Tribolium castaneum: one gene and its partner. The protein of the gene in region 1 interacts with the protein of each later gene in a pairwise test. Links are inferred from orthologs where the notes say so. Each region holds a gene or a part of one and is shown in the gene's direction. Other genes may lie near its edges.

Region 1 (6,417 bases):
TCACTTTCCCAGAAACGGATTTTATATACAAAGGTTAAACGTCAAAAAGGGTGCATTTATTTCAAGAGATCTGTTTTATTTTCTTATTTGAGAAGGATTTATAAGAAAGTCCTAGAAGTATAAATTTTATCCTTAAACTCTTTCATGTGCAGCTAGTACAAGAACTTAGGAAAATTGTATTTGAACACAGATTAGAGTTATCTTTCTTTATCAGAACCTAAATGCAAGTAGACAACAACTTTACTCAGAAAATTTTATTCAGTGATGAAGTCCTATTCTCTAACAATGATAGTGCACAACTGCCACTACTGTGCTTAGAAAAATCCACTGTGGATATTTGAAAATTTCCAAGGAACTCTTTTGGTGAACGTTTGGTGTGGCCTCTCGCTTCTTTGTGAATCACATAGTTGGGCCTTTTCTCTACCTCGAAAAATAAGCAAGGCCAACATTTTGACTTCCTGTTTATTGTTGTAACTTCTGATTTTGAAAAAACTGTTTGCCTATCTTTGATGAAATCTTTCATTTTCATTACATTTTGTATTGGTATTTACACAGCAAAGACTTTTCTACTTTCTCTATCATTCTGCGAGAACTGAATGACACTAATGATCACTAATGATTCTTCTCTGAGCTGATGTCAGTGACATAAGATGGTAGATAACTTGGATTCGGTGTTGGGACACTTGCGTCTTTTTACCTGAAGTGGGTTAGATGCGCCCGATCCGGAATCAAATCTATTACCTAACTGTGACTGAGAGTCTGGTGGGTCACTTGCGCCCCCATATGCTCAGTACTTATGGAAAAACTGAACAAGAAAGATAGATATTGACAGAATTTTGAATCCTTTTTTTTATCAAATTTTGTAACAATTAATTCAATTCTCTAGTTGATTCAAAGATGGACAAAGGTGGTCCGACAATATGTAATGTAAAAACTTTTCTTTAAAGCGCCATTACGGAGTCAGTTGCATAAAGAAGTATTTCTGAATTTACCAGTTCCTAAAAAGTATTTAATTACTACGAGAGGTGAGCTGCGGCTAAATACCGTAATTTTTTAACATAAAAAATATGAAAAATTTAAAATTTTAATTTTTGAATTCTTTGACAAATCTACTGAAGCCCAACAATGTTTAAGGCGATCCCTGAGAACTGTCAAAATGATCAAAAATCCATAAGATCATACTTTTACACATATCTCAAAATCGACAACAATTTTCAACCAGAAACCATTGTACTGCCTTCATCTGGCACTTCAAACTAGATTTTTAAAGCGGTAATATTTAAAAAATCTTTTTCTCAGAGAAATTTTTCTAAAGGTTGTTTTTTCCTTGCTATTGCTAGTATCGGGTATCAATTTTAGCATGCAAATGATGTGCGTGAATGGTGGGTGTATGTTTTTCCGATCTGTGTAGATCTTGCGTTTGGCACCCAAGTCAAAACTTTATCAGATCAGCATACCCAAAAATACACGAATTCAATTCTAAATGGAAAATCTGTAGATTTGTGGGAAATTGATTCCTAATCATTTTGCTTTTTATTTGGTACTGCTCCGTTGTCGATTTTCTGGGATATACAGAGTGCTCAAAAACTGGCGCACCAACTCAGTGGTACGTTATTGAGAAGCAAGTGCAGATTATGGGAAAAATGTTGAAAAAATTCCTAAAGTCATATTTTAAAAATCTGGAGCTACAAACTTATTGTGTTTAATTTCTTTGGTTTTCATTATTTTTTATGATTTTATGTTTCATACCAGGTAATCGTTCCGTAACAAAACAATGAATAATTATTTTTAAATTTACTATCAGATTTTGGCAGTTTTTTTAATTTAAAAAAAATAAAATTCATCCAAAAAATCACAATGTGTAGATGTGCCAACACTGGGAATTATTTCCTAGGAAACTGTTTCAAAAATAATTTATTTTTATTGTTGCTCAAATTCTATTGCGATTATGACTGTTAGACAACGTTGCCACATATCATTTATCTAAAATCCGTTATTTATCAATAACGTTAATACAAAGAATGTTTTTACTATTTTTACCTTTATATGTAACCAGTTCTCTACCACACACCATTGAGTTGGTGCGCCAGTTTTTGAGCACGCTATATATAAAAGTAGGAACACATGTTTTTGGATCGTTTTGACAGTTCTTAGGGGCCGCCTTGTATTGTAGTTTATACACCGAAAAGACTTCTCTACTTTCTCTATCATTCCTCGAAAATTGAATGGCAATAATGATCATTCTCTGCGCTAATGTCGGAGTGACATAAGTTGATAACTTGGATTCAACTTGCTAATCCTAATTTAAATTGGATCAAAGGCATAAATGAAATATGTTTTTTTGATTGCATCGGCAGGTCGTCAGGCTCTTTATTTTATCCGAATCACTCTGTATGCCACTGCGTAAAGTGAGCCTGTGTTAAAAAAACTTGAAGAAAAATGTCGTGCGTCCACGCGAAGTCAAGTGGCTGTAGGTCTGTGTTGATCAGTTGTTTGCGGCGCGCCGCCTCTGTGTTGTCGTCTCGGCGCACGCCGCCAGGGCGTCCTTCGTATTGATTCCCGCATGATCCTGTATAGCAGCGGGGCGACGTCGGCGTCGCGTCAGTTGCGCTCGGAGCTGCTCGCCGTCGACAGCACGTCTCCTCTCCGTCGCGGATGCGAGCACCTCGGTGAGTGTACGACGACGGTGGCGCGAGTGGATGCCGCCTAGCGCGGGATGACGAGCGAAGAGGCGGCGACCGAGCCGCCCATCTCCAGCACCGCCACCCCGGACCCATGCCTCGACGAAAGGAAATACTGGTGCTTCCTGCTTTCGAGCATCTTCACCTTCCTGGCCGGCCTCCTCATCGTGCTGGTGTGGCGGCTGTTCGCCTTCCTCTGCTGCCGCAAGGAGGTGCAGTACGGGCCCAATGACCCGAAGCAGAAGGAGCAGAAGGCCGCCAGGCAGGGCAAGCAGGAGTTCGAGGGGACCTTCATGACGGAGGCCAAGGACTGGGCGGGAGAGCTCATTTCGGGACAGACCACCACCGGAAGGATATTGGTAAGAGACGAGCTGTCTGCCGACATGACGCAAGATGGGGGAGTTACGCCCACCGGGGGCAAATCACCAAATTACAACGGCTTTTTTGGGGAAAGGTTAACACGATTTATTGATTCGATCGAAAATCGATAATGGAAAGAAAATTCTGATACTTTGACTAAATGTCGTGAAGAGCAAGAAAATATTTGACAGTCTGACCCAGATGGCGCATTCATTGCTAACATATACCTACATATGGAACTCATTCAGCTAATCCCAGGACATATTTCCAGTTTATATAAATTCAAGCTCCATGCAGCAAACAAAATTATGGTAAATTACGTCTTCCTAACTAATGACGTGCATCATTATGACCTCAATGTATGACACAAATACAGCAAGTCTCTGCCAACATTATAAAAAATTTAGGTGAAAAAGGTTATTTTGATACGAATTGACTACAAAAAGGACAATTATTTACCAGTCTATTCTAAACCTTGTCAAATCAAAAATATCAATAACATGAAATCAAACATTTTTGAATAGGAACATGCAGTGGCGTATTTAGGTCCATTGACGCCCCTGCCTAAGACAACATTTATTGATTAATTTATAGAATAAGAACAAATGTACAAACCCCGTAAATGAACAATTTTTATTAACACAGAGAGATTTTTGTCGTACTTTGTAATACGGTGCGTTCAAAAAGCCTTTAGATCAACTCTTGCTGTGGAATTTAGATTGATAGATTATCGTTTTATTCTATTGAAGCTGTTAAAGTTCGTAGTAATCGTAAGTAATCAAAATACGTTCAAAATTGCGTCGTAATAAAGCGATCAGTAATAAATTCGATTTTGATCAGTAAAAAATAATAATTTTCGCACAGTAAAAAATTTAAATGACAAGTAAACTACGCTCAGTATTTTAGTAAAATTCGTACAGTTTAAATAATAAACGCCCAGTAGCTAGCTTGCAGGCTGGGGCGAATTCTACACTCTCTAGTTTTGAGATGCTATTATTTACTGCGCATTTATTATTTTTACTTTGCATCTATTATTTTTACTGTGCATTTATTATTTTTACTGCACAGTTATTATTTTTACTGTGCATTTATTATTTTTACTATGAAATTGTTATTTTTACTGTGCATTTACTATATTTACTGTGGACTTATTATTTTTACTGTGCATTTATTATTTTTACTGTGCAATTGTTATTTTTACTATGCATTTGTTATTTTTACTCTGCAAATATTATTTTAACTGTGCAGTTATTATTTTTATTGTGCATTCATTATTTTTACTGTGCATTTATTATTCTTACTATGCAATTGTTATTTTTACTGTGCATTTATTATTTTAACAGTGCATTTATTATTTTTACTGTGCATTTGTTATTTTACTGTGCATTTGTTATTTTTACTGTGCATCTATTATTTTTACTGTGCATTTATTATTTTTTTTGTGCATTTATTGTTTTTACTGTGCATTTGTTATTTTACTGTGCATTTGTTATTTTTACTGTGCATTTATTATTTTTACTGATCAAAAATACTTGTCGTTTGAATAAAATACTGTGCATTTAATTTGTACTTTTCAAAATTTCACAGCAAGAGTTGATCTAAAGACTTTTTGAACGCACTGTACAAATCACCCTTTAAAATTTTAAGTATCACTTCTTTTGTGAAACTTTAAATGAACTGTTAAATGCATAAACTGCTAGATATTGATGTTTTAATATACATCTTTATATTTATATTTATATTTTATATTTTTATTTATATTTATCTTTATATTTTTTCAATCACTTTATTTGAACGAAATAGCAAATTCAGTTCTCCAAAATTCAAGAGAGTTTTAAAAATTAAATTAAAAATCTGAAAAAATTCTTCGTAATGAAACCAAATAAATCTGTGGTTTTCTAGGATATCTTTTAAAAAAATACCCTGAAATTAATAAAAAATTTTTTTTACGAAAAACCTACACATATTTACGACTTTTTTTGTATAAAACGAGTATTATGTTGTCGTTGACTTTTTTCAAAGACATTTAGGTCACAAAGCTACAACTAAAAACTTCTTAAAACTCATTAATCAAACAATTAAGAACTTAAGAAGTAAAAAATGCGACGATAACTAAAAATTTGATCAATTTATTAAAGCTGCACTGGGCTATTGCTCATTTAGCCCATATGTAAATATGCTTCTGGGTTAATGGTTTGTTTTTAGAATGTTGTCGAATTATTAATTTGCCCATGTAATTGCAGGCACAATACTTTTTTTAATTGGCGTTCAGCTTCCAAAATTAGTTGCAGCAGTTTTATCGATTATATAGATGACCCAGAACTTGCATCAGTCATTTCATTAGCAAAATTAATAATTACTTTCCCAGATTCGTATTTTATAAACAAAGGTTAAAGGTCAAAAAAATTGCATTTATTTCAAGAGATCTGTTTATTTTTCCTTATTTCTTTATTTGAGAAGCATTTATAAGGAAATCCTGACCTAAAAAACAGTAAATTGAAATAACAGTGTCTTATTTGACATTTCTTCAAATCAGTCAAACTAATAATTACTTCTTGAGTCAATATAATCCAAGCCTTTTGTTTCTAAGGATATTTTAATCGCCTTATCACCTTAGAAACGATAATCATATTGAAAAGCAAGGATAACTATATTTTCTATGGTTTTCCAGTTTGAAACACGCTATAAATTTTAAGTTGGAATTAAAAAGAGCTCTAATTTTTTACCTGAAATTAAAAAGGGCAAAATTTTAGGACCATTTAAGAATTTTTTTATTTGCGCCATTTATTTAAGAATTTATAATTCTGACATAAAAAACAGTAAATTAAAGTAAAAGTGTCTTTTCAAAAACTAAGCTTTTTTTTAACTTCTTTAAATTAGTCAAAGTAAATTGGGTTTTAACACTTTTTTAAATTCAAAAAACTTTATAAAAAATTTTAGCCATAGAGTACACAAATTTTAGGTAGAAACCGAAGAAACTAAATTTTACTGAGATTTAAGGAAAGAAACTCCTGTGTACCGAATAACTAATAAGAGGTTTTTTATTTGGAGGACCAAACGATCGTTTTTTTAAACCTGTTTCTAATACAAGATAATTGTTAAATTCATCATTACCTTTATTAGACAATAAGAGGTCGGAATTAAAGTCTTAACTTAAAAGAGCAGTGAACTAAAGTAAAATGTAAGTTTTGATAACAAACTGTTATTTTTTTTCTAAATTTTAAGCTCCTATAATCTTTCAGTTGATAACAAAAAAACTCAAAATTTTACGGATATTTACAGAAAAACTGTTTACAAAAAGAATTTTTTTATATACAGAATATAAAAAAAACGTTTTTAAAACGAAGTTGTTAAACACAAATTTGATTTAAACTTA
Region 2 (6,560 bases), on another chromosome or scaffold:
AGAGTAATTTAGAGAGTTTTGGTAATTTTATCACTCCAATGAAGAGCCGGGCGAATACTCCGGTTGCTGCAACATCGTCCACTCCGAAGGTGGAGGAGCAGATTAAACAATCAACTAACTCGTCGGATAGTAGCTCTGAAAGTGATTTCGAGGACTCAAGAGTCGAGAAAGTTAAGAAAATTATGAACTTGCCCGAACTATCGCCCATGCAGACGAAGGAGAAATCAAAGAAAATTAGCAGTAAATACGATTTGGTCGATGCAGAAGCGGACGAGTCTTTAATAAAACAGAAGCAGAAGAAGAAACAGAAAAATAAGAAAAAGAAGAGTGAGAAAGAGGAGACTGTTGATTGCACGGAGGCGGTTCAGAAGAAGAGAAAATCGAGCCAAATGGAAGATGCAGGTGATAGTGTCTTGAAGAAGAAATCTAAGAATAAGAAAAAGTCGCGGACTGCGTCTCCTGAGCTTGAAGCAAATACCAAAAGTGAGCAAAAGTGTGAAGGTGTTGACGTTTTGCTCCCCAGTTTAAAAAAAGTAACAGAAACTGACGAAACAATTAAAAAGGAACATACAGTTAAGGAAGAACCAGAAGTTAAGGAAGAACCGTTGAAGATAAAGTCGCCGAAAGTCGTTGAAAGTGAGGAGTCTGCTATGGACGGGTTTCTTGTCGTTGATGAAACGTTTGCCACCACCACCGACATCAAAACTATCTCATCAGATTCCGATTCGATTTTATCTTCACTTGCTGAAGATCAAGACATTCAATTAATAAATTGTGAGGCGAAATTTGAACCTGACTGTACTGCGTCTACTTCCAAATCCGGTGTACTAAATCTGGCAAATTGTAGTGTCCAAGACCTTCAATTTGTGATGTCGAGTAACTTTGTTTAATTGTTTTGTGTCAGTAATCACGAAAATTAAAAATTGTAGATGATCCTAATCTTTGGACGATATTAGACAGGGATAGGTTTCCTATCAAGTCTCCTGTTGGTAAAAGGTGCAATAAATGCAAAGAGCTGGGTCACATAGCTCTCAAATGTCCAAACAAGCTGGAACCTAAGTGCAAGCTGTGTGGAGAAGGCGGGCATTTCGAACCTCGATGTCCTAACAAGATGTGTACTCAGGTGAGGGATAACGTCGGCTAAAATATTAGGAGGCGATTGAACGTAAATTTTCTACAATGTATGTCTGATAAAGTCGGATAAATACAATCTTTTTTTTTTTCTATTTTTGAGTTACGCATTTATTTTTAAATAAAAATCCACGTTAAAAAAATATTGACAGGTACTATAAAGGTCTGTGCTACAATCTATGCCATTATCATTATCCCGTTTTTTATGAAATCATTTTTCATTAACTAAATTTATCTTATCCAGTTTTGGCTATTATTTATTTTCAAAATTAAAATTCTTATTATTATTATATTTTTATTTTTTTTTATTTTTATATATTCAATAATTTTTAATAAAATAACCGTTGTGCTTTTTTGTCATAATTGTGTATGCTTAAATATTTAAATATAATACTGAATTACATGTCGCCCCCTAGTATTACTCTTCCGTATTTGGAGCGGACCGCAGACTAAACGCGATTTTTAGTGTGGCAAACGTAGTTACTACACCACAGCCTATTGCAGCTTGTGTTTCAAGCTACGAGATTACCAATGCCAAATTTGTTCCATGACTGGTCACGCACCTGAGACTTGCCCAGATCTATGGCGGCGCTACCATTTAACCGTAAGTACATATTTCTCGTAGGTTTGCATTCAATTAATTACTGTGTTTAGACCACTGAGGGTCCGTTGAAAACGTACTCTGGCCCTGCCCTGAAACCAAACTTGTGGTGTTCTGGGTGTGCCCAGCCAGGCCACTTGGAACACATGTGTGACTTTTACAAGTCGATGTATCCACCAACAGACCCGTTTATTAAAAACTATGATCAGGTGTATGATGATGAGAATGAGAATGAGCCACAGGAAGAGGCGCCGCAGCCAGATCCTCAACCGAATTTCGCACCGAACCCACCCCAGAATTATGTAATGCAAGGAGTCAACCAGGGACTTAACTATAACTGCAATTACGACCAATTTGCCAATGCGTTTATCCAAAATGGGATGTTTGTGGCCAACCAACAAAACTTCTACACTAATCAGTTCGCGCCGCAAGACGGTTACATGCAAGGGTATCCGCAATATTCCAACGCCTACACCAGTTTTTGTGACAACTTACCGAAATATATAAGTTTAGCTACTCCACAGCACACTGTGATAGCTACTCCACAGCACACTGTGATAGCTACTCCACAGCACACTGTCAATTTGGAGGCGCCTAGGCCTGAAATCCCTAGCCTAGAATTTGCGACCCCTGCTGAACGAAAAGTACACTGCAACAGCATGTTTTTTTCATCGTCGGGGAGATTGTTGCGACAATTTGTCAGTAGAGAGTTGGCGAAATTGTCCAAAATATCGTTCAATGTAAAGAGATATGTGACAGAATTGAAGAGGAGGCAGGTTCCTCGCGGTGCACGACGACGGGCAGAGTACTACGAGTTGGCCAATATGGTGCTCTTTGGGGTTCTCTGTTTAGGGGATGGGAAATTTCATCTGAACGCTCTGAAACAGCTCAAAATGGACAAGAGCAAGTTGAGTTGTTTCAGACGACAAAAATTGCATAGGGCGTACTGTTTTATTTTCGGATGTGAAAGGCACGACAGTGTAGACTATAATGAACTCATAAGCAGGATTTAATGAATTTTAATTTGCGATTTTTGAATAATTTTTTGTTGAAATAAATACGAATTTTCCGATCTTGGTGTTTTATTTCCAAGGAGTGCTCTTTAAGGGGGTTGCTAGTGTGCGAAAGGTTTGGCTTCCGATCGCGGGATGGCGCTGTTGACAGACAGCCAACTATGAGGTAATCAGCTGATCGTCGATGACATTATTTTCCAAAGCCGACTATGTATTATGACAGGAGGGAGAGAGACTATTGGAAAAACTATGTCTCTGACAGAGACAAACAGTAGTGTAGAAAATGGCAGCAGTAGGTACAACAAATTTTGATTGTTTAGAAATTAAGACACGTAGTATAGAACAAACCCTTCTTCCTCTTATTAAACAGGTAATTTTGTGTTAGCTGCTTTCTGTCATGTGAACTTTAGTTAGCACTTTATTTAGTTAACTTAGGTTTAGAAAATGTGTCTCGCGACATGGGTGTGCACTTTGACAGCTCTCAATTAACGTGCTAGCTCGCATAATTGAATATTGTTATGTATGAAAACATTGTTGCTGTTTATTTATAGCATTGTGTATAGATATTAGATGAACGCTATGCATAAAATAGCTCGAGTTTTTTCAAATAAAGCAGTTTGAGGTTATGTGTTTTGTTTATTTGAAACATGTGATTGTTTATACGCAAGCGTGCTTTATTTATTTATTAAACGCTGCCTAAATAATTCAGACGACGGGTTTGAACCAAAACAAGCCATGTGTCTGTTATTTAACGATTAATTCCTTCGTTAATTGATAATTGACGTTTGACGTCATAGCTTATTGACGTGGTGACAGGTATATAATAAAAAAACGCGCGATTTTATACGAAAAGAGAGAACAGTCTTCCAGTCTTTAAGATTTTCTCTTTGATAAAAAAGTAGCTCCATTCGCACTTTGCATAAATTGATATTCATCTAAAATGGGTCTTTCGTCCAATTTGAGAAGCCTATTTCTAATCAATAAAGTTAGCTTTATAAAGCCTGGGAGATCGTAAATGGGCTTTATGGCAGACTTTTATTGTGTGGAAATTGTGACGTTAACCGTTCTACAGGATTCAGATTGAAAAGTTGATAAGTCGAAATTGCTGCGGACATTCGGCGAAAGGGAGGTTTCTATTGATTTGCAAAAAAAACTTTGAAAAAATTTTTTTAAATACTCGCTAGCTGATGACTGATGAGTTAGAATAGCTAAGCTAACATATTTAATATATATTAAAAAATAAGTACTAATAATAACAATAGCTATTAGCATAATAGCTATTGAATAGTTTTAACTTTGTTCACTTCTTACCAAATCCATTCTCAATCTCAAATTTTAAGGGCAGTTAAGACAATATACCAAAAACTGCGTGTTTTTTTAAGTACATAAATGTACAATAATGTTGTGTAGAAAAAACATGAAGAAGGAGAAAAATCGCAACATAATGCCACTAAAATTAAATACTTATCCTGGAAAAATAAAATTCTAACTTTTATTTTACCGACTAAAATTTATTAAACACATGGACAGTAATAATTACTCCTAATTCAATTCTTGGAGATTGAAAAAACTACTGTCTTGGCGCAGAAATGATGCTTAAGTAATTATAAAACATAAAAGTAAAAATGAAATGTAAAAAAGGAAAAAAACACTATACCAGCTAGTGAAGACTGTGTTCGGCTTGAAGAGGAAAGACAAGAAGAGAAAAAGAGGAAATTGCTTAAAAAAAGATAAATGTGGAGAATATTTCCTCAAGAGTATTTTTAAATTAGGACAATATTTGCGTGAAACAACTAAACTATTAAAATTGCTGTTACTTTATGTAATTGCTAAAATCGTTGGTGAGTATACATTTCTCAAAATGTTTTTTTGAGAGTTTGCGAAAAATAAAATACGTACGAAAAATACTAAACGTAAAACTGATATTTATTAAAATAAAGTTTTAAATGAAGCTAGTTTTTTAAAATGAACTATGTGAAAAAGAAAAAGTACTTTCTGTACTGGTTAGTGATGACTTCTGCTTGAACAAAAGAAGCAAGAAGAGAAAAAGAAAAAAGCTGAAGAATTACTCAGAAAAATAAGATAGAAGTGGAGAAAGTCGTTGCTAAATGGTGGCAGTTTAGAAAAAAATATTTTAAACGCTGCAAGAAGTGTCAAGTTTTGGTTAAAATAACCTTGATTGGAAGCGTATTTTTAGTTTCAGATTACTATACTTAAATTTCTAAGAAAAAATGAAGTATAGCAGTCTTTACTAATGCGTATAACATCCAATCGTCATTGTCAAACGTTTGTAAATTTTTTTTTCTTACGATTATTATTATACTTTCTATTTTCTAAGTTATGAACACATTGACTGAAACTACGTAATTGGAAATATAAAAAAAAACTTGGAAGAGCGTTAATATACATTTTTCTAATATTTGTAAGAAAATAAAATAGCAAAAAATGAGAATTAACACACTAAACGTGTGATAGTTACATTTACTTAAATACTTATACGTATTTATACGTATAAAATTAACTACATGTGTACTACTTATACAGTTTGTGAAGTCAACCACTCCTCGCACAGTTATTCTGCCTGTAGTTTTGTTTTCCAGGCCGTTGCACAGTAATAGGTGGCGCTTTTGTTTATCTGAATCCTAAATTCTCTGTTTTCACTGTTTTAATGTGAGCAAACAAACGTTATCTACGTACATATGTTTCAAACAAAGGGTTGAAAAAGCTGGAATATCAAATTTTAGGTATACGTACTTATATTCGTAAGTGAACGGAAGTTTGTCTTACAAAACCATAAAATAAGGAGGAGAATAGATTTTTTTAAACTGACGCTCGAACAAAGCTTGTTTTTCAATGTGATGTAAACGAGATATTAATTAAGACAAGGAGATTGCTGTTTAGAAATATTTGCATGTAACAACGTCTTACATAAATTTAGAATTTTTATTACGAAAGTTTAAATTTTTGTTATCTAAAACTGAGACCTCATTAATTCCATAACGTTATTTCTGCAGCTATTCAGCAACAAACACTGTTCGGAGTCTACTCACGGATAACAACTTGCCAACTTTATTATTGTTGGAGTTGCTTATCAAACTTGATATTTTTTCTTTGCGAGTTTCAATGAATAATAAGCAGGTGCGTAGGCAGATGCATTTTTGCATATTTGAATAAAACATTAATTGTGTACGAGTAAGCGCCTGATTGTTTCATACCCAATTAATTTGAAAATAACAGTTGTGAAAGTGGGTATAAGTTAAGTTACGATTGTATGCTCATTCATCCACACATCCGGGATTTTTATTTATTTAGCGTGGGATTAATTCGTCAATTTGGCGAAGTTTCCTGAAATGAAAGCGATATGACAAATTCACAAGGATTTGCTCTGATCTTGAATCTGGCTCGGTGTGTTGGCAAACGCATTGACTGTTGACCATACGATTCAGGAAATCGCAACGATAAATCTTTCACTCGAATTCATTGCGTCCCTGTCGATTCTATCGATTTCCAGTGCCAATAAAGCACGCCTGATCTTCCATTTGCAAGGCTAATATTACCATAACTCGCGATAAACGATCGTCGAAATTAATTTTAACTGGAATTATAATCAATTGTGTATTTTATTAGACGTTCCTAATTTATTGCTCGTGACGGTAATAAACTAAACGGAAATTCCGGCTTGTCTGACATTACTATTTTTATCACGGAACATTCGTGATTGATCGAAGACTTAATTTACTGTTCAAACTTTGCCAATTTTACCCATAATGCGGGAATTTATAACAATGATCAAGGATTTTTCTGTGTGCATCATC

The links. The genes of interacting proteins can lie anywhere in the genome.
Region 2: the proteins of slo (region 1) and alpha-Catr interact in a two-hybrid assay, tested with the Caenorhabditis elegans proteins (2 studies listed by BioGRID, with this or other methods). The link is inferred for Tribolium castaneum from reciprocal best matches to the Caenorhabditis elegans genes slo-1 and ctn-1.

The regions. Positions count from the first base shown.
Region 1 is NC_087400.1:8,503,153-8,509,569, forward strand, and holds the start of slo (calcium-activated potassium channel slowpoke), read left to right. Parts: upstream 1-2,519; 5' UTR 2,520-2,716; coding exon 2,717-3,040; intron 3,041-6,417. UniProt on the Caenorhabditis elegans protein: Potassium channel activated by both membrane depolarization or increase in cytosolic Ca(2+) that mediates export of K(+). Its activation dampens the excitatory events that elevate the cytosolic Ca(2+) concentration and/or depolarize the cell membrane.
Region 2 is NC_087394.1:28,275,760-28,282,319, reverse strand, and holds the start of alpha-Catr (alpha-catulin), read left to right. Parts: upstream 1-2,945; 5' UTR 2,946-3,028; coding exon 3,029-3,115; intron 3,116-6,560. Other genes in the region: uncharacterized protein Zcchc7, read left to right, coding at 1-876, 930-1,123, 1,598-1,735, 1,786-2,745. UniProt on the Caenorhabditis elegans protein: Required for slo-1 potassium ion channel clustering at presynaptic terminals and in egg-laying muscles; clustering of slo-1 mediates the intoxicating and sedatory effects of ethanol on worms.